Diceros bicornis minor: one gene and its partners. The protein of the gene in region 2 interacts with the protein of the main gene of each other region in a pairwise test. Links are inferred from orthologs where the notes say so. Each region holds a gene or a part of one and is shown on either strand. Other genes may lie near its edges.

Region 1 (7,420 bases), on a different chromosome or scaffold from region 2:
CTTCCTCCCTCATTTTGTGGCTTAGGTGGGGGCATAGTCCAGGCAGAACTGGTGTCTCCTTTTGGATACTGCAGAAGGAAGGGGGACCTAGGCTCACCAGTCAAGGTGGCCACACCCAGGAGGATTGATTGGCAAGCGGAGAGACAGATTCTCCCAATAAAGGCACTTTTACCTCAATAGGGGGCTGGGAGCTGGCTGGGAGTGTTGTAGGGGTGGGAGGAGTTATTTTGATAGAGGTGTTAGTTGCAGGTTGCAGAGAGCAATGAAGGGAGTCCACCTACACCGGGCCATCTGCAGGGTCTGCAAGTGAGGAAAAGAGAGAAAGCATTGGCTGGATCCATATGCCCATTCTACAGACAAGAATACGGAAGCTTATGTTATTTATTGCCACTAAAGCCATAAGTACCAATAAGGGACAGAGTTGGCATTCATGCCCTTGGGAGACCCCTTTTCTTCTCTCCTCAACACCCTCCCCCCGCTGAAACACACACACACACACTTACCAGTAGGGGCTGCTGAATGTCTTTGCTGCCGCAAGGGGAAGGTGACATATGCATCATAGCTAAAGAGGCACACAGCGATTAGGCCCAGTACCTGGGGGTGGAGATGGGAGTGAAGTGGGTTGGATTAAGCTAGTCAGCCTACTCAGTCTCTTAACTCTTTGTATCCACCACCTCCAGTGACTGCACCCTGCAGGGATGGTGACTAAAGCCCCAGGTCGGGAAGCCAGAGAGCCAGAGAGAAAGGCCAGGAGACTGGACTCTGTCCCAGCCTCCCTCCTCCTAGTACCTCTTAAAACAGGGCAGCCACACGGTGGCCCCACATACAGGAGATACCATTAATACTGTACATTTGAGACAGATTCTAGCAGATGGTAGTCTAGTGTGTTGACAAAGGGGCCGCCTCTTTGTGCTTCCCACAGAGGTCCCTGTTTCAGACATGGGATGGCCCTTTACAGCAAATGATGATCTCGGGAGGAAAACCAGCGCCTGGGCCAGACTTTCCTTCAGGCTCTGAGAACAAGTGTGGCCGGCTGTTGGTCACACACTTTCTGCCAGAGGCAGAAATGACCCCTGGATCCTCAAACCCCTCTATGCTTTGGAGCTGCCTCCACGGCCTTTACCCCTCCGACGGTTTTGGAGTGGCTTCCTGGCGCAGCAAGGACGACAATGGAGGTGATCAGGTAGAGGATGGCCGCTATGAGGGTTCGGAAGAAATCCTGGGAGGGGTAGGGAGAAGAGGAAAGTCAGCATCCAGAGTTCCCCAGACAATCCCAACTGCCCAGGCCCCTCCTTAGCCTCGCCATTTTCGGCCCCTTTCTCACACTCCAAGGCCAGTTGATGATCTGTATTTTGTTGTGCAGGTCACACATGTAGATGACAAAGAAGACAGCAGCAAGGATCATCTCGATCACCGACAGGGAGGAGAATGCTGCTGTCGAGGCACTGAAGCAGATCAGAATCACGAGGCACAACACCTGGAAGGATAACACGGGAAAGGGGCCTCGATCAGCTCCCATGGCTGAGGGGATTGGTTTAAGTTGGGAGTCTCAGATGCCTACCAGGACTAGGAAAATGACAATAGCTAAACACTTATTGTGTGCTCACTGTGTTCGAAATATTGTTTTAAGAGCTGTACAAGAATTAATTCACTTAATCATCACGACAACCTCATGAGCTGGATACTATTACTAGTATCTTTATTTTATTATTTTTGTGTGTGTGAGGAAGATCAGCCCTGAGCTAACATCCATGCCAAGCCTCCTCTTTTTGCTGAGGAAGACTGGCTCTGAGCTAACATCCACGCGGATCTTCCTCCACTTTATATGGGATGCCACCACAGCATGGCCTGACAAGCGGTGTGTCGTGGGCGCCCGGGATCTGAATCCCGGGCCGCCAGCAGCAGAGTGGGTGCACTTAACCGCTATGCCAGGGGGCCCCTAGTATCTTTATTTTATAGATGAGAAAAGTGAGGCACAGAGAGGTTAAGTGACTTTCCCACAGTCACTCAGCTAGTGAGGGGTAGAGTTGGGTGCCTCAGTTTCCCCCCTTTTCCCTTCTAAGACAGGGGTGGCCTGAGAGGGGTGGCGCTGCCAGGTGTTTTGCGAGCACTGCTGGGGCCAGCTGCATGGCCTTCACGGGGCGGGACGTGCGGTTCCCCCGGCAACCCCTTTGGGAAGCGGTGAGAGCGACACTGGAGGGACAGGGCTCGGTTAAAGGCGCCGCACCCCTTTTACAAGTGACTCAAAGGCGGCGCCCACTTTGAGGAGGGCGAGAATTCGAGGCTGCCGAGCGGCCAGGACAGCTTAAGGACCTCCCGCCCTACCACCGAAGGGCGAGGAAGAACTGGCGGAGGGCGGGGCACCCTACCCCGCGGGACAAGCGCGCAGGGCCCCACCCCAAGAGGCCCCGCCCCTGGGCGCGCTGCCAGCCCGCCCGCCAGTGCCCAGGCCGCGCCACGCCCTGCCACGGAAGGCTCCCACCTCCCAGCCCCTTGGGACCCCTCTGATGAGTCCACAGATGAGTCCACGCAGTCTCCTTCCATGGGGCCCCCCCATATGCTCTATGGGCCTCTTGCCTCACCCCGTGGGCCAGCAGCTCCCGACCACCTTCTCCAAACCCGACTGACTCGCCCTGCGCCCCTGGTTTCTGGCCTCCGCCACTAACCCACCCACCTGCGCCCCACTGCTGAGCGCCCCCGGCCACGCGCCTACCTCACCTGGGCCCTCCCGGCTCTGCGTGGTCCAGCCACCCCACCCCGCCTTTGGCCACCCGCCTGTCCCGGGACGCTCACGATTTCAGCAAACAGGATAATTCCTTTTCGGGTGCACCAGAAGTTGGTGCAGGCTGCCCAGCAGCCGGGGGCCGAGAGGCGCTCGGAATCCGCCATGGCGTGGGCCGGAGTCCCTAGGAGCTCGGAGGATCTGCTTGCTTGCTCACGGGTTCGAGGACGCTGCACACCCAATCGTCTTGCCCGCCGTCTGGCCGGGAAGGTGGCCCCGGGGCGAAGGAGGGAGTGAATCACCGCACCAAGCAGAAGCGGGCGGGGCCGGAGGGGGCCGGACCAGGTGTCTGCCGCCCCGGAAGCCCCCTCGCCCCGCCCGCCAAGGATATTCCCCTCCCGGCGCACGGCCCCCGGGGCGCCCCATCTCCCGGGGCGCCAGCCTTTGAGGCTTGGCAGTTCGGAGTACCCATGCGCGGTAATGGCGAGACCCTTCGCACTTTTAGAATACAAATACTCCCAGGGCTGCCTCAACTCAGAACCGCGGAGATCTCGCTTTGGGAGAGAGTGACTCAGTTTCCTTAGCTGTAAAAACGGCGGCTGAGGCCATGGTTAAACCCAGGAATGTTTCCAGAATTTGGAATATTTTGAATTTTAGAAAGTTTTCCCGGTTCCTATACCGTGCATTACTTACCCTCAGCAGGGTCTGAGGCTGCCCCATTTAAAAAAAAAAAACACCTTAATACTTCCTCAAGGAAAGATGTGGATGTTCACAGTAAGTGGGATAAGCCAGGACTGAAAATTGCTCCTGGTTAAGTCAGGTCATGTTTTGGAACCATATGATGCCCAATGTGTGGGAAAACTGTTGGTTTCCAGAGCTTTTTGGACTTCAGAATTTTGGATAAAAGATCGTGGACTGTGGAATAAACCTCCTAGCGGTGATGGAAACGAGACGATGCCGGTGCACAGGCTGAGAGAGAACAGGGCCCGGTGAGCATCAATCTGCTCATTGTAAATGCGGGTGAACATTATTAAGAGAATCAGAGCCCAGGGTCTGCAATCCTGAGGAAGTCCCAGTCTTAAGTGCTGGGCCTCCATTTCCTGGTTCTAAGGAGAGGGGCTGTGAGCCCAACCCTAGATGAAGAATGGGGAAGAAGCACAGGTTTATTGATTGCTGGGAGCTTGGCAAAATGAGGGGAAGGCTCCTGAGGGGCCAGGCTGGGTGACAAGGCCAACAACATTTGAAGAGTGTGTTATCCTGAACAAGCAACTTCTAACTCAGCCTTGATTTCTGCATCTGAGATATGCACCTGGTCACGGGAATCAGAATCTCCCCCGAGATGTGCTGAGGGGCATGCTTTCCAGACTGGATGTTGGTTTTATTCTCATCTCATTTGAGGAGGGGCGAGTCATGGCTGGAAGGCCAGGATGTTTCAAGCCAAGGGCCTGCCTGCTACCCCCGCAACCCAGAGCCCCTCCAAACCAAGGAAGCTGCTCCCCTCTTCCATCCCAGGTTGCCAAAAGAGTAATTGGATAGTGGAAGAGATGAAACATATTTTTCCCAGTGCTGTGTGTGCTTTCCACCTCTGGAAAGGTGGAAATGAGGCATGAGGACATGCCTGAGTTTCTAGAACAAAATAAACTCTGCCCTGCATCAGGGCCTTTGCACTTGCTGTTCCCACTGCTGTCAATGCCCTTCCCCCAGCTCTTCATACATCTGGCTTCTGATCATTCGGGTATCAGCTCAAATGTTATGTCTTCAAAGAGGCCAGCAGCCCACCATCATTACCTCCCCTAACATAACCTCCTTTTGCTATCTTCATAACTCTCACCTCTGAAATTATCTTTTATTTATGCATTTTCTTGTATTTTCTGACATCTGTCTACCCCCACACACACATCAGCTACACAAGGATAGAAATCTTTGTTCCTTCCCCCAGCATCTCCCCACTGCCTATCACAGTGCAAGGTAAACAGTTGGGGCTCAATTAATACTTGTCAAATGCAGGTGAGATTAAGGGGACAGGTTTGGGAATTGAGCCTTGATTAAATCTTGTTTCAAACTCCCTCCCTCAAGCTACTTATACTCTCTGAGCCTCACTTCCCTCCTCTGTTTAAAATGGACATATCAGGATTATTGAGTAGATGTGTAACCAGATGAAAATAGACACTGCAAGTAGAGCCAGTAGCAGGGATAAGGCTAAGTAAATGGTGGCTGGGGTTACTAATATTAGTCTCCCAGGTGTGACTGTGTTTATAGTACTAGGGCTCTGGAGCCCTTTCCTGACTTCCGTGGGGCCACACCTCCACCAGGGTCTGAGTCAGGGGCAGCTAGAAGCTCCAGCGCCCTCCCCCACAACGTCTACAGTGCTAACCCTTCAAGGGTTCACCTCTTCACCTCTTCATACCCTAACTCCCAGCCTGGTTTTGCAGTCCCTCTCTGCTCCCCAACAGCCACCCTGGACACTCACACTCCAGTCTTTTAATTTCTCTAACCTGTCCCCGGCCCCTCCCTGTAGGGGTAAGAGTTGCCCATTCTGGCCTGACCACAGCTTCCTTCGTTGGGTGTATGGGGACAAGTGTTCACGATGTGGTGACAGCAGAGGTGACTGGACATTTCTGGCCTTGGCCAGTGCCTGCTTCGGGGCTACCCCAGCTGGAGTCCCACTGGCCATATAAGCCCCGGCTTTGAGCTCTGTTCCCAGGATGGAGGAAACTCGGGCCTCTCCCACGACTGGGAACGCCCAGCATGTGGCGTGTGCACACAAGCCCGGCTGCAGTTTGTCACCATCTATGGAAGAGGGGGGTGCGGCCCAAAGGTTGTAATAGCCTTTTTTAGCCCGGCCAGCTGACTCACACCTTCCTGGCTCCGCCCTAAAGGGGGCTCCAGGGCCCCAGCCCATGCCCTGAGGGTGGCAGTCTACGTGCCAGAGAAAGCTGGCCAACCAGACCAGAAGTGAGAGACTGCAGGCTCCTGGCGAAGGAAGCCGCCCGCCGTGGCTCTAGCCTTGTTATCCGGCCATCAGCTGAGTGTCTGGACGATTCCGGGCCAGGGCTCTTTGTATACTGGTGCACTCCCGCCATCACAGGCCCACCTCTACATTTCACACGCCACGCGCAATAATTATCTGTGAGCCCTGAACACCTCCCAACAAGTGAAATGAATGCATGGGGAGAGAAGCAGAAGTTTGCTAAGAGAAACGGAATGGGGAGAAAGCACGCTGGGCTGAGGCCGGCAGAAGCAAGGACCCCTCTAGAGGCATGAAAGAAATAACACGAAGTAAGCTTGTCAATGGTTGCAAGAAGAAACCAGATCGACCCACACCCTCTTTACCAGGTGGACTCGGGAGCCTCACCGGGCCAGAAGCCCCTGGAAAGTCAAGACTGGATCAAACCATTTTATTACCTCCCCCGCCCGAAACAAGAAGCGCAGGGCTGGCCCGTCCGGGAGGGCTGTGCCACTGACGCCGCGAGGGGAGCACGGGCTGGTCGACTGCGCAGCAGGAGGGGGAACAAGACCAAGTGGAAGCTCTCCCCGCCACGCTAGTGCGCGGCCGGCGGAGCACGCCAGATCCAGGTTGGGCAGTACCAAGTAAGCACCAAGCCGCCCGATGCATGCTCAGTGCCTCCGCCTGCCGGCTGCCATCTCCAGGGCGAGCTGCGCGGCCCCCGGGACCCCTAGGGCACGCGAGAGCCGTTCCTCGCTGGGCACCAGCCAGGGTCCCGGGGAACCCGGAGTTCGGTCGTGAGGGTCCTCCGTGCGGCGCTCAGGAGGAGGAACCGCGGGGCTGTCGGCCGCTCGCTCTGGGCTAGGCTCTGGGCTGCCCCGGGTTTGGGGCGTCTTATGGGATCGAGGGTGCTGAAGTAGGGAGGGGCTGGCGCTGCGAGACTTCATCACCTTTGGTCCCCCAGAATCTGGGCTGCGATCTGGGGATGGCAAGACTGCGGGTTAGATTGGGTGATAGGGTGGGGAACAGAGAGCGGGGCCCCTTGGCCCAGGGTGGCTGGGAGACTGCAAAGGCAGGGATCCTGCTCCTTAGAGAAATCTCCCTTCAAGGCCTGGACACGCCCTTGAGGAACCACCACCACTCCTTAAGACCCCTGACACCTCCTTTCCCAAGACCCCTCCCCTACTGGATCCAGAACACACCCCTCAGAAAGCATTTCCCACAATCTCCAAAGGAAATCAAACCCTGACCTTGACCTCGAGATGCCAAATCCCTCCCATCTAGGACCTCAGACTCTCCCCTTGCTCAACCCACCTCCCTCGACCCCGACTTTTTCCCTTATGGACCCCTCCTCTTTCAGAATGAGACCCCCTACCCTCTAGATCCCCATCCCATCTCCTCCCCGCTGGGACCCACTCTGCCTTCCCATCCGAGGACTATGACTCTTCCTTCTGAACACCCGCTTTTACCCCAGACCCCTTCCCTCCTCTCCTGGCCCAGTACCTAGAAAGTCTCCCCTCAGAAGTCCACCTTTATACCTATCCTGACACCCTACTCCCTGCCCAGCTCCCCCCTCCGCCCCCCCCGCGGTTTTGGAGACTACCATGACACTTCACAGACATCAACCACCGACCCTCCCCACTGAGACCACCAAACCCTTCCCACCCAGGACCCCAGCCTCTCCACTCTGCCACTCTCTCCTTCCCTTCACAGATCCCTGACACCTCTTCCCTAAGAAACCCACCATCGCC
Region 2 (7,519 bases):
AATTTCCTTCCTAAAGGAATGGACCCAGGACAGTAAAGAGACCAGGGTCACTTAGCAAAGTAAACACTAGGGGAGCAGTGTGTTGGAGTAGGGGAATTGAGAGCTGTTGTCAAATATCTGCATTTGTCCTAGGCATTTCCAGAGGACAGAGTCAGGGCAGCAGGGTTGTTTTTGTTTGTTTTTTTGGGGTTTTTTTTGGTGAGGAAGATTGGCCCTGAGCTAACATCTGTGCCCATCTTCCTCTATTTTGTATGTAGGACGCTGCCACAGCATGGCTTGATGAGCAGTGTGTAGGTCCGCGCCCAGGATCCAAACCCATGAACCCTGGGCCGCCGAAGCAGAGCGTGTGAACTTAACCACTACCCCACTGGGCTGGCCCGAAGTGCAGCAGTCTTTAGCACAATATAAAGAAGAACTTTCTAATAATTAAGACCTTTGAAAAATGAAACAGAGTGCCTTATAAAGAATTGAGCACTTGGTCACCGGGGGTGTTCAACTAGAGGCTAATGGCCACCTGACCAGAGTGCCACAGAGGAGTGGCTGCAATGAGGGGAGGTTGGTCGACATGACACCTGAAAGCCCTTGCAGTTCTAGGTTGGTATATGTATCTCTGAAATCAACTTCCCTTGGGAAGACATGTGACTGATCACCTGCTACCAGGTGAGGTAAGGTGCAAGGCAGAAAGTGGACTCAGCTCTCCAGGGTACACATTTGGGCTATTGCAGAATCCAGAAAGTTCCCTGTCTCTGGCCCTCCAGATATTCAGATGCCTGGGTCCCTCTAGCATCATCACCTCCCCTGTGCCCCACCCCCAGCCCCAACTCACCGGGAGATGGCAAAGAGACCGGTGAGCAGAGGAAGCAGTTTGAGGGTATCTTGGGGCAGGTAGGTGGAAAGCACGGCCAGATTGAAGAAGTAGAGGATGAAGAGCTGGACCGACTGGGCCACATACTGCCGGTGGATCTCCACCTCCCGCCGTGGCTCCCCAAAGGGCCGTAGGGCAGAAAAGCACAACAGGCTCAGCCCATACACCAGGAGCCCTGGGTGGGGTTGGAGAACACATAAGTCAGAACAGGAGCAGTAGGCAGGAAGCTGGGGGCAGAATTCGTAATGGAAAGCTCATGGGCATGCGCCCTACACAGTGGGGCTGAGGTGATCCTGGAGGGAGATGGGCACACAGGGTGGCAGGGTGTGGGAGGCCCTGAGGGGGCTGGGCTGAGTGAAGGGAAACTCTCCTGCTCCCCAAGCCAGGCAGGCCCTGACCTCAAGTCCAGTTCCCAGACAGCCCCTTCCTTCTCACAGGGCCCAGGCTCACCCAGTATGATGGGGAAGGTGGCAAAGACCCCACAGCGCAGCGTGTAGACGAGGCGGGAACTCATGGTAGGCAGCCGTGGGGCATCGAAGGGCAGGAAGGCATATGCCCCGTACAGCAGGCAGGGGAAGAGGATGAGGGCAGCTCCCACTGAGGCCACGGCCCTCAGCCCCTCTCGGCCCCCACAGCTCCCACAGCCCCCACAGGAGCGGCTAGGTGGCCTCACCACTGCTTCGGCCCACTTGCACTCAGAGGGCTCAGGGTGGGTGGCCCGGGTGGGCAGGAAGGTCCGGCGGTGCTCACCCTCGCCTGCCTCACAGCGCACGACGAGGTCCTCCTGGGGCCTCCGCTCAATGCACTGTAGGTCAATGGGCACGAAGGCCCGGGCTGCCTTCTCAGGAAGCAGGTTGACATCATCTTCAGGCAACTCCTCTAGCTTGGTGGGTGGCTCTGACTCAAGGGGCTCAGGCTCAATATCCCGCCAGCCAGGGGGATCCGGGAACGGGGCACTGGGCGGGGGGCCAGTCCCCCAGGGCAAGGTGGCAGCCTCACTTACTGTGCTGTCTAGACCATCCTCAGTCCCCTCTCTGGCTGTGGGAGACCCAGCTGAAGACCCTACTCTGGAGGACTCAGCTCCGGGGGACTCAGCCCCACCTTCCCCCTCTGGCTGCCGGCCATTGGGGACCAAGGCCTGGGGTGGGCTTTTCTCTGGGGCCTCAGGCCTCTTCACTTCCAGCAGGGCCAGGGTCTCGGGTTCTGTCATCCTGGGGCCTCACTTCTGGGGTCTACCGTGAGGTCACGTCACCCTGGAGAGAGCAGAGGAAAGCTCTGTCAGAAGCTCCTGTCCTCTAGCCCTTAGGACGGGTTGATAGAACTGGAACTCTCCAGGGCAGCTGGCCTCATGGGCTTTAGCCCCTTCTGGGACCTTAGAGAGAACATGGTATGCAGGAAGGTGTTGAAACAGAGGGAGGCGGAGGGAAGTGAGCAGCTGAAATGGAGGCACCCTTTCGACATCAAATGCCATCCAGCAGAGGGTGAGTCAAGGGGCACAGGCCCTGGCAGCTGTGGCCTCAGCCAGCCCCCACCCACGCTTTCTATCCCCCTCCACCAAAACCCCTGGGGTCATGGCCACCCTAATGCAGGAATGGGAGGAAGAGAAGATGTCTAGAATTTTGCCAAGAGCTTCCTTCCCACTAAGGATCTTGTGGACAGAGAAGCTGCCCCTTCACCTTCAAACCTCCCCTTCTCCCTGCAGTTCCCTGCTTGGAACTCTCCTGGCAAATGATACCAATGATTTGCCAACAAATCTGTCCCAAAGAGCTGGCAGTAGCAGTGTACCCTGTTCTTTTCTTCTCCAATCTGGGTACTTGGTCAGTTTCCAAAGTCCTCACTAGCCCACCTCCTCCATCCCCGGAGGGCCTGGGTCTGTCCATTTTGACTTCTAGGTCTAATCACGGCTTTTTCCCATGCTGCCTCTCCTGTTTTCTCCCCTCCCTGCCATCCTCCATCTCACTGCTTCTGGATGGGGTTGATTCCCCTCCCACCACCTCCTCAAGAGCCTCCTACCTCTTGCCGCTTGGACCCATGACACCCTCTTATTTTCCATCTGGAGAGAGGCAGTGGGTCCCCAGTGTCCGGGAAGAAGCTGCCTAGCTCCCTGCTGGCACTGCAAGTGTTCCTCTCGGTGTCCCTCCTTTACCTGTGTCTCCAAACCTGTCTGACCAGAGCAGGTGGGGCCCAGATTAAAGGGGCAGGGCCCGCCCTGCTGAATCGGCCGACAGAAAAAGCATTAGAGGAGTCATCCTTTCTGAAAGGGGGGGGGGGGCGGAATGTGCAGTTGGGCACAGAGGTAAATGTGTGTTCTAGGTACATGGGATGTGCAGGAGGTTCCAGCTCAGGAAAGAGAGGGGGAAGAGTGGGTTTATGGATCCAAGGGTGTGTGGAGTAGGTTGAGATACCCAGAAAAGAGGTGAAATTTCTACACTTATTTGTTCACCTATTATTAGCTAGGCTCTATTCTAGGCACACAAGAGAGAACAAGATGACAGGCAAGGTCTCTGCCCTTAAGGAGCTTGTTCTATTGGGGTAACAGATAATAAAGAAGCCTAGCAGCTAAAGAAGACAATTTCAGTAGGGAAAACCTCTTTGCCAAGGTGACATTTGAGCTGAGATCTGATGAGAAATCAGGAGTATGAGTGTTCCAGGCAGAGGAACAGCAAATGAAAGGCCAACGAGTGGGAAAGACTTAGGCTATGTCAGGAACAAAAAGAAGGTTGGTGGCTGGAATCAGGAGCATAGTGGTGGTGGTGGTATTTATGTTCCCATTACAGCATGTACACAGGCCCCCCCAAACACCTTGCCTTTTAGCTTAGGTTTAAGGTTAAGAAAGCAATAGGAATCCAAGGTGATCTTTCCAATGGGAGGACCAGGGGGCAGATACGTGAGGGAGTGACTTCTCATTCCTGTGGGACCTTATCTCTCAAGTCATTTAAGCTTTGTGAGGGCCCAGATGGTGTCTGGATTGCTCATCTCTGTGTCTCCAGAACCCAGCATCGTGGCTGGAAGACAGCAGGTGTTCAATAAATGTTTGCTGGACTGGTGAGAGATGGATATGCAAGTGGAAATCTTTGGGGGCGAGGGAGCTGAAGGGCCAAGATGCCAGTACAAGAGTCATGTCTTAGAGGGCCTTACCCTTAAGTTATGCTTGGCCCTTTCCAAGGAAATTTTCACATACATGTTTTTTTGTTTGTTTAAATAATGGAAAAAGGGGAGAACTGAAATCACTCTAACCAGTAATCTGAAAGAGGCTCGGCTCATATTGGGGGGGAGGGGTGAAGGGGCAGCAGAATGGACCAAATGGCCACTGTAGGACAAAGCAAAGTCACGCTCCTAGCTGGGAGCCCATCTGCCCCATGGGAGCCCATCTGTCCCATCCACCTTAGCTTCAGCCCCCTCACTGAGTCCACTGTCCGTTCGCTGGCACCTTTGTCAATAAAGTTTTTCGCAAGTGCTCGGAGAAGCCGGAAAGAGGCCACGCTGCCCAGAGTTAGTTCTGGCAACTTCCCGGGAGGGAAAACTAGTTTCGCGAGATTTAGTAGCAGCAGGCCACTGGCCCGCAACTGTGCAGCTGCTATCGCGAGATTTGGCCGGCGGAGGAGGAGCTGTCGCGGGCAGCCGCCTCACAGCGATGGCGGCCGAGCAGGGCCGGCGGCGGTGGCGGCTGCGGCTACGGCCGGAGACAGCAGTGGTGGCGGCAGTGGTGGGTGGTGGGGGCCTGTGACCGGGAGCCGCCCCCGGACTTGGGCACCATGAGCCAAGGGCCCCCCCCAGGGGAGAGCAGCGAGCCCGAAGCAAAGGTCCTCCACACTAAGCGGCTTTACCGGTGAGAGGGGCCGGGGCGTAAATGCAGCCGCTGAGCGAAATAAGGGGACAGCGAGGGGCGGGGCCTCCAGGGCGGGCGGGGCCCCGGTGCCGGGCTGGGGTGCGAGGGAGGAGGGTGCAATTTTGGAGGAAGCAGGGGGGGCGGGGCCCCGTAACCCGAGATGGAGTTGAAAGAAGGAATTGGGTGGGTGGGAGGTTTGGAGGGAAGCACGTGGAGGAAGCCCCTCCGCCGTGAGCTTGGGGCGGGCACCGAACTTGACGGATTTGGGGTAAGAAAGTGAAAATTGAGGGCTGCAGAGGTTGGGAAGGTGAGGGTGGGGTCACAGATGGAGAAAAACCCGGAAGGGAATGGTGCTTAGAACCTTGTAGGATTTACGGGGAAGAGCCCTGGACTGAAATCAAGAGAACCAGGTTCAGATCCTTGCTTTGCCCCTCTCACTGTGTGACCTTGGGCCTCAGTTTCCTCATCCTTAAAAGGAGAGATTTGAATTGGATATGCTCTGAAGTCTCTTATGACTCTAAGTTTTGGGAATCTGAATGAAAAGAAAGAGGCTGGAAGACTAGGTGTGTTAGACTGGAAGAGCCAGGAAGGACTTTGAGTCCAGAGTGCTCTTAGGTCATGGATGCCCAGTTCAGGGCAGCTGGGGACTTCTAAGTCCTCCCTGCCTCCCAGCCTCATGACTACAGTCTCCTGCCAGGCAGCTTACATTCCTGGTTTCTGATTTCCACAGTGCCACTCACACTCCTTAAGTCACGTCTTCAGCTCTTCAACCCTTTGTTGGGAACAGGCCAGTATGAGCTTTTCCCACCCTGGGTTGAGGATTTTTTGTGTGGGGCAACTGGAACATGGGCTCTAGAACTGGGTCAAAATAGGATGAAGCACAGAGACCAAGTTGAGTTTTTTGCTTTCTAGTAGGGAGTAGGGTTTGAGTTTTCCTTTAGCTCAAGCTCTATAGAACAGAGGTGTTTGCATGAGAAGACCACCCTTAGAGCCATGGGCCCAATTTTGGCAGTGAAAGAGTCAAGAGCATGTTGTCTTTTCCTCTCTTGAGTAGGCATCCTGCCTGCTCTGGCTTATTAAGCCAGAAGGCAGAGGGGAGTATAGGCTGCTCCAAAAATAGAAAAGTGATCCAGTCCAGCAGCCCCTGGGTTCCCACTGTGGGCTGCCCCAAGCGGTCTCCGGGCGGGTGAGGAGTTGACTGAGGGTGGCACATGTGCCTTGTCATGCTGCCGAGTGTCAGCGCTGTCTGTCAGACAGCGTGGGCAGTGTCTGCAAGATTCCTTCCTTGTCTCCAGCTTTGGGTAATGGCTCTGGTCATCCTTCTAATCATTCTCAAGTCTAGTTCTTTCTGAAGCCACTACCTTCATGGGACTGACTGACTAAAGCTGATGTGTTTGCATGTATGTTCACATGGGTATCTCTGCCTGTGATTGTGTGTTGTTGGCTTTGAGCAGGGTGGAAATTTGAGGCAGCAGGTCTCTGTTTTTGCTGTTTACTATAGCAATGGTGATTGGTAGAAGGAACTGGGGAAGGAAGGTCTGATTTCTCTGCCCAAGATAGATGTGTTAAGACTACGAAACTGTCACTCTGAGCTTCAGTAAATTTGGGAAATTCCCACAATCTGTTTACAGAAATGAAATTCTGAAATGTGTTAAGCCCCTCAGAAGAAAAAGCAGCAGGAGAGAGGATACGGGAAGGGACACAAGCACCAATTAATTAATTAACCCAATTAACCATTTTTTTTAAAGTGTTTTTTTTTTTTTTTTTTTTAAACACTGTGCTAGGCCTGGGATTACAATAGTGAGTGAGACACAAGACTAGTTTTATAGTTTTTGTTCTAAAGGAGGTTACAGTTTAGTGGAGGAGCTTATTGTCTGATGGGGAATGGAGAAAAAAGTGCTGAGTCCTTTCAGGTTTAAGAATTTGCAATTAGAACTTACTAGAGTAGTGGTTATTAACCTTTTTTGGATCAAGAATCTAAGGAGAGCTCTGGAGCCTGTCCATAAAAATACACACACACCCCCCCCCCTTAAATCTATCTATGGCACTGAAGTTAAGAGTGCTGCTCTGGGGACTCAGCTGGCATAGAGTAAATCACTGATGGCTGCCTGATGCTGCCTCTGGCAGCGAGGGCCAGGCTGGCCAAAAGGGCTTGGCTCCCCTCTCCAGGCAGCCCAGAACGTGTTTGGAGAAATGCTGAGCTCTCAAGATTGCCTGTGAGAAGGCCTTGATTGCCATCCCACCCACTTAGCTGGTGCTGGCGCTCCCTTTGCCCTGTACGGGTGGCTTTTAGTGGTGTACCACCTGAGCCACCACGGGATGCTAGCCTGCTGTGGCCCACTTTCCCAGGCCTAGGAGCACATGTTTCAGTATTCTAAAACAATCTTGGAGTGTTTGGGGAATCATCACTCCCTGTTTTTTTGGTTGCTATTGTGTCCAGAGCTATGCCTGATCCACCTGTTTTCACAGTTGCTGTTTGTCATCCTCCGGGTTTTACCCTCCAGAGATGACATCTATCTCTGGCACTTCTTAGCCATCCATTGTAGTTTCCTTGGTCTTTTCTCTTAGTGTCTGGAGTCTCCTCCTCAGCCTTATAACAAGAAGGATGGAGACTAATACTTATTGAGCATTTACTATGTACGAGGCACTGTTATGGGTGCTTTATGTTTTAGCTAATTTAGTCTTTACAAAGTAGGTGATAATGTTATTCCCATTTCATAGATGGGAGAACTGAGACATAAGGAAGTTACATATTTTGCCCAGGACCACGTAGCTGGTGAGAAGTAGAGCCAGGATTTGAACCCCAGTAGTCTAGTTCCAGAGCC
Region 3 (7,675 bases), on a different chromosome or scaffold from region 2:
TAATACCTCAAAGGATTATTGTGGGTATTAAATGAGCTAACACACATAAAAGCACCTAGTTTAGAGATTATGAGCACATTGTAGGTAACTCACTGTTTGTTCACACATATGCATAAACACACACACCTCCCTACCTCTTGCATCATCCAGTATCTTCACTATTCCCCAACAGATTGCGCAAGAAAAGAATTCATAAGTGGCAAAAGGAAAATAATTGTGCAATGTGATTTTACAGGAAAGAAGAAGAGAACAAATTCTGATGTCAAAACCTGTAGCAATCTCTCTCTTGATAACAGAGAATTCCTTTTATGTCAACATCACCATAGCAAGAACATAGCTCTGCCTTTGACTGAGAATAAGCAGTAGGAGCATTTCAGAACATTGTCAAATAGAAGAATCACAGAGGGGACTAAACCTCTCATTCTCTAAAAGAGAGATCTTTTAATGCCCTTCTCCATTTTTCACGCCTTTTATATTTTGTTTAAGACTCTTGCCCTGCTAATGGGATCTTTTCATCTAATATATATTTTCTTTCACCGGTGTACATAGAACTTCCTTTTGTTTAAAAAAATCCAAATTCATTTCTTACCATAAAAATCATATCAGATTCAGGATTCTAAACTCTATGACTTCTGACTTCCTTTTGGCCTTTATCACAAAAAAAGTTTGCTTTTTTCCCTCACCTATCTTCCAACTTTTCATTCTTTTTTTTTTTTTTAATTCGTAGATGGCATCCTGGAACCTTTTTTTTTTTTTTTGAGGAAGATTGGCCATGAGCTAACATCTGTTGCCAATCTTCCTCTTTTTTTTTCTCTCGCCAAAGCCCCAGTACACAGTTGTACATCCTAGTTGTAGGTCCTTCTTTGATTTTTTTTTGTGAGGAAGATAGACCCTGAGCTAACATCTGCCAATCCTCCTCTCTTTTTGCTGAGGAAGACTGGCCCTTGGCTAACATCCATGCCAATCTTCCTCTACTTTATATGGGATGCCACCACAGCATGGCTTGACAAGCGGTGCGTCGGCGCATGCCCGGGATCCAAACCTGCGAACCCCGGGCTGCCTCAGCGGAGCGCCACACCTAACCACTTGCACCACCTGGCCGGCCCCTGTAGGTCCTTCTATTTCTTCTATGTGGGATGCTGCCTCAGCTTGGCTTGATGAGCATTGTATAAGTCCACGCCCAGGATCCGAACCGGCAAACCCTGGGCCACCGAAGAGGAGTGCATCAACTGTAACCACTATGCCACCTGGCCAGCCCCCATCTTTTCATTCTTCTCTCCAATATCCTGATGTTGTTCATATACACTTATTTAAGTTTCCTCGACCTCCATTCTACAATTTACTCCTCTCTATCAAACAACAACAAGCCACTCCTGTTGAAATTCTTTCATCTCTGCATTTCATCACACTTATTACAGGTCCTTACTGCTGAAGTGTCTGTTTCTACAGAGCAGAGAAATTGTATTTTCTGCCATCAGAATAATTAATTTACATACTAGTTATTAGTCACTGAATGATTGCCAAGAGAAAAGGCTTAGTTACATTCAAATTATCTTCAATGACTTCTGAAAACCTTTTAAAACATATTAATAAAAGCCCTACAAATCACAAGTCTCTCATATTTTCTCCCCTTATGGGTTTTAGTTGATGAGAATAAGAATGCTGAAGGCAGAAAGAAAAAATACCTTTCTCTGAGACCACACGTCTCCTGGCGATGCCTTGAGAGCTGAAGTCTAATTGAGTATATCCATCTTCATCCACATTTTCTAACTCAGAGTGGTATTCCATTGTTCTCCTGGGTTCCCGAGTTGACACAGCATTTGAGAGCTCTTTTCTCTCTTCTCCTAAGACAACTGCCTGTGGACAAAAGAGGATCTATGAGTCAAATCATGTGGGAGAGGTATTTACTGAGGTTGAACAAGAGCTTAAGTTGTCCAACCAGCTATCCAAAAGCAGGAAACGAAAACTCTGCCATAGCAATTTCCCATTTGTATCTTTAGATCCTGTTTCTGAGACTAATGACTCTTAAAAAAATAATAAGGCAGCACAATGGATAGATCTTTGTTTCAGACAAAATGTGAGAAAAATGAAGAGACTAATGTCTTATGCTGCTTTCATTATTCTCACAACTGAATTTGACATCATTAATTGACTTGGTCTATATAAACTATTAAACAATTTTGATACCTCGAGTTCACCAATACTTCGCTATAACTATACATTAATTCACTTATTCGTGTAGTCGCTTGTTCAGTAAACATTTTCAGAATGCCCATCTTTTCAATTGGCGGGAGCTGGGGATACAAGGATAAATGATACCTGTGAAGAAGCTCTTTGTCTAATAACAGGAAACCTACAGATAGGTATATGAAGGATGCCATAAGGAGGTGCACTGTTGTAACAACAGAGAGAGGAAACAAATCTCTTTGGGATTTGTCAGAGATTAACATGAAGTGGTAAATTATTTATTGAACAATTACTATGAGCTAAGTACTACCCATTACACATGTTTTCTCATTCAATCTCAGTTTTCCAACAAGTCTATGTGGGAGGTATTATTCTTATTTTCAAATGAAGAAAATGAGACATAGAAATTTTAGTCCCTTGCTCAATTTTAAGAAGCTAATAAGAATATTGAAGAAAGGAATCAAGTCAAAGTCTACTCGCTGCAAAACTCATGATCTTTTCTGTTATGCTACACTGCCTCCTTCACCATTCCATACACTTATATTGCAAGTAAGAAGTTATGGAGGATTCTTGCACTGAAATATTATGCTAAATGTTTGATTTTTTTCCTCTCTTCCAATTTCCATAGTAATGTCCAAATTAATGAGATACGGAAAACACTTACCACTGCTGGAAACTACAGAGGTATCCAACCTGTTTACAAGTCTTTGAAGCAAGTAGCATGAAGGAGACATCTGACTGTTGTCAAAGATAGACCACGCCAGACACTCATTAAAGCGGTCAAGACAGATTTCCTTCAGTAATACTATTACAACAGACAAGAGAGCCCAGCATGAACTGACCCAACTTCCCCAAAACAAAGACTGGAGACTTTTTAAAGGCTGGAGTATGCGAAGGGAAAGGCACTGAGTGGTATTAAGGGGGGTTAATCCGTGTGACTGGGCCATCTGAATTTGTTAATTGGTGCCTCTCCAGAAGAGAAATGAACTTCTGCTTTTATGACAGGAGGCAATGGTGCATGTTGAAGGATGGTGGCCCCCTCTGAAGTTAAGCCCCTATCTTCCCACAGAGAGTAAAAGTCCCTAACTCCCTGAATGGTTGCATTTCAAAGAGATGGCTCTCAGGTCCTGAAGAAACTGTTTTGGGTGGTAGATTTACATCTCAAAGGGCAGAGAAAGGATCTATAATTGCAAGCTTTCTAAAGTAACTGCTCTAAGAGGGGCTCCAGGGACCTGCCTATCTGTCTATCACCAAGTTTTGACTAGAACAAACAGTAAATTCTCCTGGAAGCATTGAGCTTTCTGAAGTAGGCATTTTACGGGGGTCTGGGGTGACGCTAGGGACTCAGCCTTAAGCTGTTAGAAGCCATGCCGGAGTTTGTCACGTCTCTTAGTGCAGAGGTTTGGACGGAGGTGTTATACGCCGAGAGTTCTGCAGTTCTCACTAACAACATGTCCAAATGGAAGAGAGTGCAATGGAAAATAAGTGAGTTTCTACGTCTTACCCAGGCTGCCACAAAAGTTTTACTAACTTTTTGTAGACACGTTGCAAAGTAGTAAGGTGGATCTAATCTCAACATCCATCAGTTCATCAGCTTTCACTTCTATAATGCAGCCCTCGGAAAGCAGAGGATAGTTGGAAAGCAGGGGATTTTTCACAGAGTGAATAAATTGGCTCAAGGAAGAAGTGAGCCTACTAAACAAAACTAGAGAACAACAATGAGAAGAGCACCTTCCAGGCAATAAAAAGAGGCTGGCTTTTTACTGTCAATTCAGACTTTCCAATGAGAGAACTTGACGTAATAACTTTATTTTTTATGACTACTTTCCTCTATTTAATCACAATCCTACAAGAACAATTGGCTCTTGAAATTTTTTCAATAAATGTAAACTTTAGTCTTCTCTTTTTGTCTGAGACTAAAACAATTGAACAGCGATTACACAAATTATGGATAAACTAGGAAAAAAAGTCCCTTAGCATTTCAAGGGGCAGGGGAGGGTTGGAGACAGACAGTCTAAGTATTCACAGAAAACTACCCCTGGTTAAACATTAATGTAAGAAACAGGTGAAAAACAAACCAACCTAAACAAAACAAACAAAACCCAGTAAACAACAATTATCTAATTCATATTCTCAGTGAAAATTTGATGAAAAATTGCATCCATACAGCAAGTTTTTTCCTCAAAGAAAAATGAGGAATCTGAGAAGAGTTCTTAGAAGTGAAAAACACATTTTATAAACTAAAACTACAATTAATTGAATCTGAGTCAGATTGAATATAATGTCAATAAAACAATCGAAAGAACTGCATTCAGAATAGCTAAATTAGCCTGGTCATGCTCTTATTTCTACAAATATTAAGCTGTTGTTAACAGTAGTATTTGCTTTCAGAATTAAATCTCAAAAAATAAAATTCTTCCCAAATAAATATCTATTTTGATAGATGCACTAGAAAGAGTGTTAGACCAGCAAAAAGAAACACAAGAGAGCCTGAGGCATATATCCAATGTGACTTTTTGGAAAATTTATACAAATAAATGAATAAAGAGAAATGAATAAATATACAAACTTATAGAAATAAATGAATAAATTAATTAAATAGAAAACAAGATTATTAAAAACAAACTAAGTATTCACTTAAGAACCATTGTAGAAAAAAAAATGTAAGTCTTCAGGATACCAACATTCCAAAGTACCGTCCCCATTAATGTTTATAAGTTTCAAAAAAAAAAAAAATCATCAGGGGCCAGCCCCGTGAAGTAGCAGTTAAGTGTGTGTGCTCTGCTGCTGGCGGCCTGGGTTCGGATCCCGGGTGTGCACCAATGCACTTGTTAGGCCATGCTGTGGCGGCATCCCATATAAAAGTGGAGGAAGATGGGCATGGATGTTAGCCCAGGGCCAGTCTTCCTCAGCAAAAAAAAAAAAAAAAAGGAGGATTGGCATGGATGTTAGCTCAGGGCTGATCAAATTTCACCTCCAATTTGAATGCTAACTTGAGTCTCCTTCCTTCCTCCCTCCCTTGCTTCCTTCCTCTATCTATCCGTTAAGCAATTAAATATCTACTGAACATTTACCATCTTCTCAGAAGCCTAGATACAAGGAAGCATGAGGCCCAATCCCCACCCTGATTGGTTCCACATCATATTTGGAGGATACAGACAAAAAAATTTACTTAAATCATTTATGTATGTATCCCCTGGTTTGGGCACACCACGAAAATTACTTAGCTTTATTCACAGCACCCTTTCAGTGTTATTTTTATGCTTTCTACAAATGAAGTAATTGATATTGAGTCCTTTCTTAGAGTGTCTAAAAATTTTTGATTAAACCAAAGGCTCTCTTTATAATCAATAGATACTTCATAGTGAAAATGTGCCCCTCACCATCTTTTCCCCATCCACCTTCTCTTCTCTGATTCTGTTTATGCTCCAGCTACCCTACTGTTCCAGTGGTTTCCTGGTTCCAGTTTGCTACGTTGTCCACATACCACATATAACCTCTACTATCCCTCCTCCTTTGAGCCCCTCTTCTACTGTTTTACTGAGGAGAGAATGTATATAGTGCACGTAAACATCAGTCTCATATGGCACTTGTATTTAAAACTTCCCATTCTTCTCAAGGAAGAGATGATATTTATGTGGTATTTTCTTATTGTTAGATGCTTATAACTCTGTTCCTCATGACTCCTTGAGTTCCTTGAACCGTGGTGTATCCCGCATATTCAACACCTGGAGCAGTTCATTCTTTCTTTTTTTTTTTTTTTGAGGATGATTGGCCCTGAGCTAACATCTGTTGCCAATCTCCCTCTTTTTCTTTTTTCTCCCCAAAGCCCCAATACATAGTTGTATATCCTAGTTGTAGGTCTCTCTAGTTCTTCTATGTGGGCCGCCACCTCTGCATGGCTTGATGAACGGTGAGTAGGTCGGCGCCCAGGATCCAAACTGGCGAACCCCGGGCCAATGGAAGTGGAACGCATGAACTTCACTACGCCACTGGGCAGGCCCCTCATTTTTTCTTTTTTACTTCACTCTCTTCTATATAAAAAAATAATATTCAGTAATAATCATGAAATGGAATAAATGGTAATAACGGCCAGAAAACAAATATAGGTAGTGAATAGTTTTTATTCAACTTGATATATAAAATCAGACCAGTAAAAATAAAAGTGCATATAAATGTGTGCATTGACATAAAATAAATATTATCATACAAACTACTTTTAATTATATGGATAAAATATTTTCAATCATATTAACATATTTTTTGGAAAGGGAGAAAGAATTTATACCCTTATATAGGTATGTCACCATAATAAATAATAATATTACAATTTTTGTTTTGGACCCTTACTTTCTCAAAATTTGCCAATGACATTGTCAAAAGTAATCTTTTTCACATGTTCACATTGATTAGATAGTGTACCCAGAGTCATCAATTTATCTTTGCTCATTATTGATTGAAGACCACTTTTTGTTCATTTTAATTCTGAAAAGTTTCTTTCACTGAAGCCACAAATAGGTAAATAGGAAAAAGATGTATACATAGCATATGTGTGGCAAAGATTTAAAAAATCCTATTTCACAATTATTCCAGAAATTACAATATTGCCCATGTCTTTATTTCTTCAGGATCAATTTTAGAAGCTGTCAAATGTCTCTGCAAATTGAAAAATTGTATAAATACAAATAATAATTACAAATGGTCACATAGAAGGACCATTGAAGTAGCTCAAGTTCTGTTTATTTGACTTTATAATCACTGTGCAATGCTATCAATGTTTATTTTAAATCTACACTTTAAACACAGAAATATTCCATAATGAGTCGTTACAAATAAGGAAAACTGAGTAAGTGGTATTCTTTTTTTTTTTTTTTACTCTTTTTTTTTTTATTGGTTTATAACATTGTAAAAATTTCAGGTGTACATCATTGTACTTCTATTTCTGCATGGACTACATCATGTTCACCACTAAAATACTAATTACAACCCATCACCACACACATGTACCAAATTATCCCTTTCACCCTCCTCCCTCCCCCCTTCCCCTCTGGTAACCACCAATCCAATCTCTGTCCCTATGTGTTTGTTTATTGTTGTTATTATCTACTACTTAATGAAGGAAATCATACGGTATTTGACCTTCTCCCTCTGACTTATTTCACTTTGCATTATACCCTCAATGTCCATCCATGTTGTCACAAATGCCTGGATTTCATCGTTTCTTATGGCTGAGTAGTATTCCATTGTGTATATATACCACATCTTCTTTATCCATTCGTCCCTTGATGGGCACTTAGGTTGCTTCCAAGTCTTGGCTATTGTGACTAACGATGCAATGAACACAGGGGTGCTTGTACCTTTGCAAATTGGTGTTTTCAAGTTCTTTGGATAAATACCCAGCAGTGGAATAGCTGGATCATATGGTAGTTCTATCCTTGATTTTTTGAGGAATCTCCATACTGTTTTCCATAGTGGCTGCACCAGTTTG
Region 4 (6,951 bases), on a different chromosome or scaffold from region 2:
TCCCATTGTTTCTTAGAATAAACTTCAAACCCCTTACCATGGCCCTTGTGGCAGAAACTATAAATTTCCTACCCAATATGTTTCCCCCTTATGTAACAAAACCAGGATTTTTGTTAGGAGTACTAATAGGCTGAGTTGAAAATAAAACCGCCCCAGACTCCATTTCCGTTAGGAGTGGCCATCAACCCAGTTCTGGCCAGTAAGATAAGCAGAAACTTACAGGATAGGGGTTCAAGGAAAACTATTACTTTCCTGATGGAAAAAGATGGACTCAGCTATCATGTGTCTCTTGCCTTCCGCATCCTCTCCTTTTTCCTGCCTGGAGGTGGAACAGCCATCTTGGAAGCATGAAGATGGAAGCCACACTCAAACAACCACAGAACAAAAAGATGGAAGCTTGGATCATGGAACTTGCATGAGCCCTGGACTGCTGACATTGAGGCTCCATTATGTCAGAAAAATAAACCCCTTATTTTGTTAAACCACCATAACTTTATTTCTATTAATGCAGCCAAAACGGTCCTAATAGATACAATCTTGTATGATATGGTCCCTGCCTACCTCTTTAGCCTTATCTCAAGCAACTTTCCTCCTCATTCACTGTATCACAACCACACTGACTTTCCATTTACTCTTCAAATACAACCTCTTTCCTGCTTCAGGGTATTTGCATGTGCTGTTCCTTCTGCCTGGAATAGTCTTTTCCCCAGTCTTCACTCGCTAACTTCTACTCATTTATTCAGGTCAGAGCTTAAGGGATGTTTCCTCAGCATGGACTTCCCTGAACCCCCAATCCAAATTAGGTGCTTTCATAGCACCCTTAATTTTTCCTTCTTAGGATGTTTCATAATTTATATTTTTTATTAATTTACAGGATTTTTCCCTTTTAGTTTAACTTCTGTCTCCCAACTAGACTCTGAGCTCTCTAATGCCAAGGTATGTATTTCTCTTGTCCAGTACAAAATATATATCCAGCCCATATAACAGTGCATGCCACATAGAGGACACGGAGTAAACAATGCTAATAAATGAAAAATCTACTGAAATTTCATGTGCTTTGTGCCATTTTCCCTTCTCTCTTGGATCATAATTAATCACTCCTCCCTCTATGCTTCCATGGCATATTGCTTTGACCTCTATTTTAATTCAATCCATTTAACAAATAAGACATGTTTTAAAGGATCTCAAAGTCGGTTCAGGAGAAAAACACATAAAAACTAATTATGATACAGTATAATAAGTGCAATATTTGAAGTATGAGCAAAATACAAAAATAGAACAAGGGAAAGGGTGATGAACTCAATGAAGTGGTAGAGATGAGGCCAGGAAAGGCTTTCAGGAGCTAGTAACATCTAGGCAGCATTTTGAAAGCCAAATGGGAATTTTCCAGGTAGACAAGGGGAGGAAAGGAAATACAAGCAAAGAGTATAGCATGTTCAAATGCCCTGTAGTGTGAAAAAGTAGAGGGTGTAAAGTGTAAAATGTAAAGAAGGCATCGTAGGCATAGTATGAGTAACATTGTTGAGGGGAATCATCTAACACAGTAAACATAAGTTTCTCCATGAGACTACTCTCATGCCTTTCTTTTTTTTTAAGCTTGGCCGAAGAATTGTAAAACAAATAGAACTATGACTTATATTTCATAAGTTACATAATCAATTTCATGCATGATCATGTCTACAACAATCAGAAAATTAGTTTCCATCACGACATTAGGATGTGGATGAAGTCACATATACATGCTCCATGGCTCTGCCCATGGAGATCTGAGACCCCCAGTTGGCTCCATCTCTATGGAGGAAATTGTCCAAAATCAAGGCTGGAGAGGTAGGCAGGGTACAGACCATGAAGTTTCTATGATGTCACCATAAGTAGCTTTGATTTTATGGACAATGAATAGACACAGAGGGATTTTAGGCAGGGGAGAGATTATCCTCAGATTTGAGTCTTAGAAAGATCACCTTGAAGGCAATGGATTGGAGGCAAGGAAACCAATTAGGATTCTATTACAACAGTAAAAGTAACTATGAGAACCTCAACTAAGGCAGTGACAATTGAGGATGGAGAGAATAGAATTGGGGAGATAATGCACAGGCAAAATTAACTAGACTCAATAATTGATTAGGCATGGGGATGGACAAGAGAGGAAGAAATTAAGGCTCATTTGGAGGTTTCTATTCTAGAGACTGATCATTGTGTCTTTTAGTGAGAGAGGTAATACAGAAAGAAGAGGATGTTTGGGAGGAGAGATAATTAATTCAGTTTGGAGCATGTGGTATTTGAGGTGCCTGTGGAATATCCAAGTGGAGATGTCTGGCAGGTTAGATGGACACATGGGTCTGGAGCCCTAAGAGAGCAGCCTGGGTTAGAGATATGGATTTGAGACTTGTCAGAGAAGATGACAACTTAAACTAAGACTTTAGCAGTTAAGATAGAGAAGAAAGAATAACCTTGAAAGACTTGAGAATTTAGAATCGATAAGATCTGGTGAATGGTTGGATAAAGGAAATGTGAAAAAGAGAGAGGAGTGTAGGACAAACTTCAGGTTTCTGGTTTTGGAGCCTGGGTGGGTGATGGTTCCACTGTTATGGACTAAATTGTGCCCCCCCCCCAATTCTTATGTTGAAGCCGTAATACCCATTATCTTAGCATATGACTGTATTTGGAGATAAGGCCTTTAAAGAGGTAATTGAGGAAAAACAAGGTTGCATAGAAGGGCCCTAATACAATATAACTGGTGTCCTTAGAAGAAGAGGAGATTAGGACACAGACATGCATAGAAGGAGAATGCCATGTGAACATGAAGATGGCCATCTAAAAGGCAAGGAGAGAGACCTCGGAAGAGACCAACTCTGCTGACACCTTGATCTTGGACTTCCAGCATCCAGAGCTGTGAGAAAATAAATTTCTGTTGTTTAAGCCACCCAGTCTGTGGTACTTTGTTATGGCAGCTCTAGCAAACTAATGCAGCCACCAACCAAGATTAGGACTATGGGAAAGAAAGTAGGTTGGGGGAAGGAGGTGTTGAAAGAAGAATTTGATGTGGGACATGTTGAGTTTGAGATTCCTGAGGTACATCCAGGTAGAGATATTCGAATGGCTTTGAAATTCAAGAGATAGATTGGGGTTATGGATACAGATTTGGAAATCATTGACATGTAGGTGATATTATAAAATAAACTGTAGGAGTGGATGATGAGATCATCTAAAACGTGTGTATAGAGTGAGAAAATCTCAAGGATAGAATCTAAGGAATATCAACATTAAGGAACAGACTGAGGAAGAGAACCTAGGAAAGGAAAATAATCAAAGAAATAAGATGAAGAGAGAGAGAAAACATACAATTAACCTTTTTAATCTTGTTTTTAATTATAATTAATTGAGTACATACTGATCTCAGCCCTCAAAGAGCTTTGACATAGTGGAGGAGGAAATACTTTATTCATTTCTGAATCTCCAACACCAAGAACAGTACCTGACATTTAATATCCCTGCAACAAATATTTGTTAAATCGAATGGAATTGAAATTAGGACTTCATTCCCTTTTTTGTTTTGTTTGCTTATTTCTGGAGTGTGCAGCATGTATTGCCACTGATATTTTAAGTTCATAGTGAAAAATCATTTCAATGTGTCCTAGGCTTGGTCCCCTTCCAAACCAACCCCCAGGACAATAGTTTTTATTATTACCTTCTGTCTTTGCCATTCTGGATGGAATTCTGTGCACAGAAGTTATATACATATATGGGTATATCTATGTAACAAATCGCAGCACAGGAGCCCCCTGGGCTCCCTCAGGCTCTGGTATGACATATTTGAGCCATATAAATTCAGCTTCTCCTCTGGCATCTGTTAGCCGACTCACTCGCAACTCCACCTCAGCAGTGGTCTCTCAGTTCTCTCAAAGCAGGGAAAGAGTACTGTGCGCTGAGATACCATGGCTAAGAATCCTCCAGAGAACTGTGAGGACTGTCACATTCTAAATGTAAGTTGATTCATATTTTTCCCCTTTTGAGCAGAAGCAGGGTTTCACAGATTTGTCATATTGCAATATGAACATTAGAAAGTGAAATCAAAGGTGACTTTGAATCATGGCTTGCTATTGTAAGGACAAATGTGTATTGTTTTATTCTCTCTCTTCTTTGCTTAGGCAGAAGCTTTTAAATCCAAGAAGATATGTAAATCGCTTAAAATTTGTGGATTAGTGCTTGGTATCCTTGCCCTAACTCTAATTGTCCTGTTTTGGGGAGGCAAGCACTTCTGGCCGGAGACACCCAAAAAAGTAAGTAAATGTACATTATTATCCAATACTTCTGTTTTGAGTTTGATTGAATTTAATTAGTGATTGATATGTATATTACTCTGAAAATGAAAATCATTAAGTCCCTTTGGTGTTTATTTTCTGGTGGTATGAAAAACTGAATCAAGATTTTACTCTCTTTTATTTGCCTAATTATTTTGGAAAGGGAAACAATGTGTTTTCTGTATTTCGGTTAGTAATGATAGGATGTAGAATTACCCATTCTTTTATGATGCTTGGCTTTAAGGAGTTAAAACTCCCCTTAGAAGCAAAATTTTTACTGTAAGAAAAAATACTTTCCATCTTTCTTTCAATTACCTGGGCAGAAACTGATGGAAAAGTAATTATACCACCACATAAGAAGAAACCACCAGAAATGGCAGCAAAGGATTTTCAGGGATTATGTTTCTGACTTAATGCATCTACTGTGAGAACAGGAAGCAGACTCCTTTTCAGAAGGAGCAATTCTTATACCTGAGTTCACATTTATTTATGACTTTAAAAAAAAAAAAAAAAACTAGCGCTGTTCAGCTCCTCACCAGCCACAATTGTCACTGTCCCACTGAGATAGTAATGCCACAAGGTAGAAACAAGTGACACCAAGTCATTATCACAGGTATCTCAGAAAGCTTCTGATATTAGGGTGATTTGGTGAAGCTTGGCTGGCCATTGTAGTTGGTATTAGTGTACCTTAGTGTCATTTTTACTCCTGGGCTCACACGCAATGGGCAAGTTTAGATGTGACCCAAAGAAAATCATAGCGGCCGGCCCAGTGGCGTAGCGGTTAAGTTCACGCACTCTGCTCCGGTGGCCCAGGGTTCGCCGGTTCAGATCCTGGGCACAGACATACGCACCACTCATCAAGCCACGCTGAGGCAGCGTCCCACATAGAGCAACTAGAAGGATGTACAACTATGATATACAACTATCTACTGGGGCTTTGGGGAGAAAAAAAAGAAAAAAGGAGGAAGATTGACAACAGATGTTAGCTCTGGGCCAGTCTTCCTCAAAAAAAAAAAGAAAGAAAATCAGAGTCCCTTCATGCTAACAATTTCCATTTGAAAGAGAATTAATAAATGTACAAGCTACAAGGTGTGAAGATGGTTTTCTGGCTTTGCCACATTTTTCTCTCTGCATGTGGGATGTTGTTGTTGTTACTGTTTTTATTAATTTGTTGTCATGAAACGCTCATTTCTATTTGATAACAGATGTAGGAAGGGAAAGGCACAAATCCAGGAGGGAGGATAGGAAACAAGAAGAAAATGTGCTGTCGTGGACCATTAGGAGCCAAAGGAGCGATAGGAGCACAGGGAAGAATATAGATCAATGAGAAAGGAGAGGCAGAGGGGGAGAAAATAGAAAATCAACTGGACAAGTGTCCAGAAGAAAATAGAGAAGTAAGGCATAGTCACACTTGTGTTCTTCACCTCTGCTGCCATATCCACTTACATTTAGTCCCAGAAGCTACCTTATCAAGTTTAAGTAGCAGGGGAAATGAAAAGCAAACCAGCCTACTTTGTTTGCCTTTTTATTTATATCTTGTTCCAGAAAAGATTTCAGGCATTACCCAATGCCTATTGTTAGTCCCTTCTCTCTCTCTCTCAATCTCTCCCACTGCTCTCTGCTTCTGAACTACTTACTGTTCACATGTCTTTCTAGAAAAGCCACCTATATTCTGGCTAGCAAGGTGGGCAAAGCAATCGAGATCAGGAAGGAAACAGCAAATGAATGAGAGTGCCAAAATGCATTCCGATCCAATTCTGCTACCACTTAGCTAATTCCCAAGGCGGCATGCTGCCCTGCAAATTGAATCTTGGATTCTCTTGACAATCACAGATGAGTTAGAGGACAATAAACCCTTTCATTCTCCATGGCCATAGCGTACTTAACTGAGTGTGGTAGGTAGCTAGCCCTTTTGACCACTCATACATGCCTGCCTAAACATGGGGCCAGATTGCCTGTCTTGTTTTATTGTAGCCATTGGTACAGCAAATGCTATTCTGAAAGGATTCATATATTTTTCTGAACTTACAGTGCTATTTGCCTCAGTGCAACTATAAATCACTAAGTGGGGACCTTTCTTTATCTTGCAAGGTGCCAGACTCACTAACAGGGCCCATGGTCCCCTCTGCTTCCGTATTATATCATCTTTGCTTCTCACTCCAGTTTGCTTTTTTAATGGATTATAAGGAGCAATCCTGTGATTTCTCAAACCACAGTAAAACCTAGTCAGTGCACACACAGAAGAGGTGGGGTATGCTACTGAATAAATTTTATCAAGAATCACATCTCTTGTGAAGTAATCCATCTTGGGACGTAATTTTCGAGAGGGATTCTCAGAAATGAACAAAGTTATTATAAAGTAATTTGGTAAAGGACAATAGTGTCTTGTGGGGCAAGTTTTTCCACCATGAACAAAGGTTGTTTGTTCTCCATTCCAATGGGGAGTTGCAGTTTACTGTCTTTGATATTTAAGTCTTGGCCTTCACCACAAGACCAGGCTGGGTCCATTGCAAACTAAAGAACTAGCAGGAGGTGTGGGTGCTTCACTCAGTCTACTACTACCTTCAATTCCCCGGGCAAAGAGCCTAAGAGACCATCTGTGTTTCCAATGGCTAAGACTGCCAGTAAGCCTGCCTCAGAGCTGACTTAT

The links.
Region 1: the proteins of TMEM79 (region 2) and PLP2 interact in binary tests that used the Homo sapiens proteins (3 or more experiments, as listed by UniProt). The two-hybrid records come from large-scale screens. The link is inferred for Diceros bicornis minor from reciprocal best matches to the Homo sapiens genes TMEM79 and PLP2.
Region 3: the proteins of TMEM79 (region 2) and CLEC7A interact in binary tests that used the Homo sapiens proteins (3 or more experiments, as listed by UniProt). The two-hybrid records come from large-scale screens. The link is inferred for Diceros bicornis minor from reciprocal best matches to the Homo sapiens genes TMEM79 and CLEC7A.
Region 4: the proteins of TMEM79 (region 2) and TNMD interact in binary tests that used the Homo sapiens proteins (3 or more experiments, as listed by UniProt). The two-hybrid records come from large-scale screens. The link is inferred for Diceros bicornis minor from reciprocal best matches to the Homo sapiens genes TMEM79 and TNMD.

What each region holds. Positions count from the first base shown.
Region 1 is NC_080781.1:42,378,978-42,386,397, reverse strand, and holds the start of PLP2 (proteolipid protein 2), read right to left. Parts: upstream 3,017-7,420; 5' UTR 2,890-3,016; coding exon 2,794-2,889; intron 1,478-2,793; coding exon 1,325-1,477; intron 1,220-1,324; coding exon 1,124-1,219; intron 595-1,123; coding exon 504-594; intron 301-503; coding exon 278-300; 3' UTR 1-277. Other genes in the region: PDZ domain-containing protein MAGIX, read right to left, coding at 6,341-6,648, 7,414-7,420. UniProt on the Homo sapiens protein: May play a role in cell differentiation in the intestinal epithelium.
Region 2 is NC_080743.1:59,879,339-59,886,857, reverse strand, and holds the start of TMEM79 (transmembrane protein 79), read right to left. Parts: upstream 3,004-7,519; 5' UTR 2,879-3,003; intron 2,119-2,878; 5' UTR 2,076-2,118; coding exon 1,316-2,075; intron 1,041-1,315; coding exon 827-1,040; intron 1-826. Other genes in the region: nonsense-mediated mRNA decay factor SMG5, read left to right, coding at 4,621-4,694.
Region 3 is NC_080756.1:52,031,404-52,039,078, reverse strand, and holds the start of CLEC7A (C-type lectin domain family 7 member A), read right to left. Parts: upstream 3,003-7,675; 5' UTR 2,852-3,002; intron 1,858-2,851; 5' UTR 1,789-1,857; coding exon 1,686-1,788; intron 1-1,685.
Region 4 is NC_080781.1:93,661,295-93,668,245, forward strand, and holds the start of TNMD (tenomodulin), read left to right. Parts: upstream 1-3,935; coding exon 3,936-3,983; intron 3,984-4,148; coding exon 4,149-4,280; intron 4,281-6,951. UniProt on the Homo sapiens protein: May be an angiogenesis inhibitor.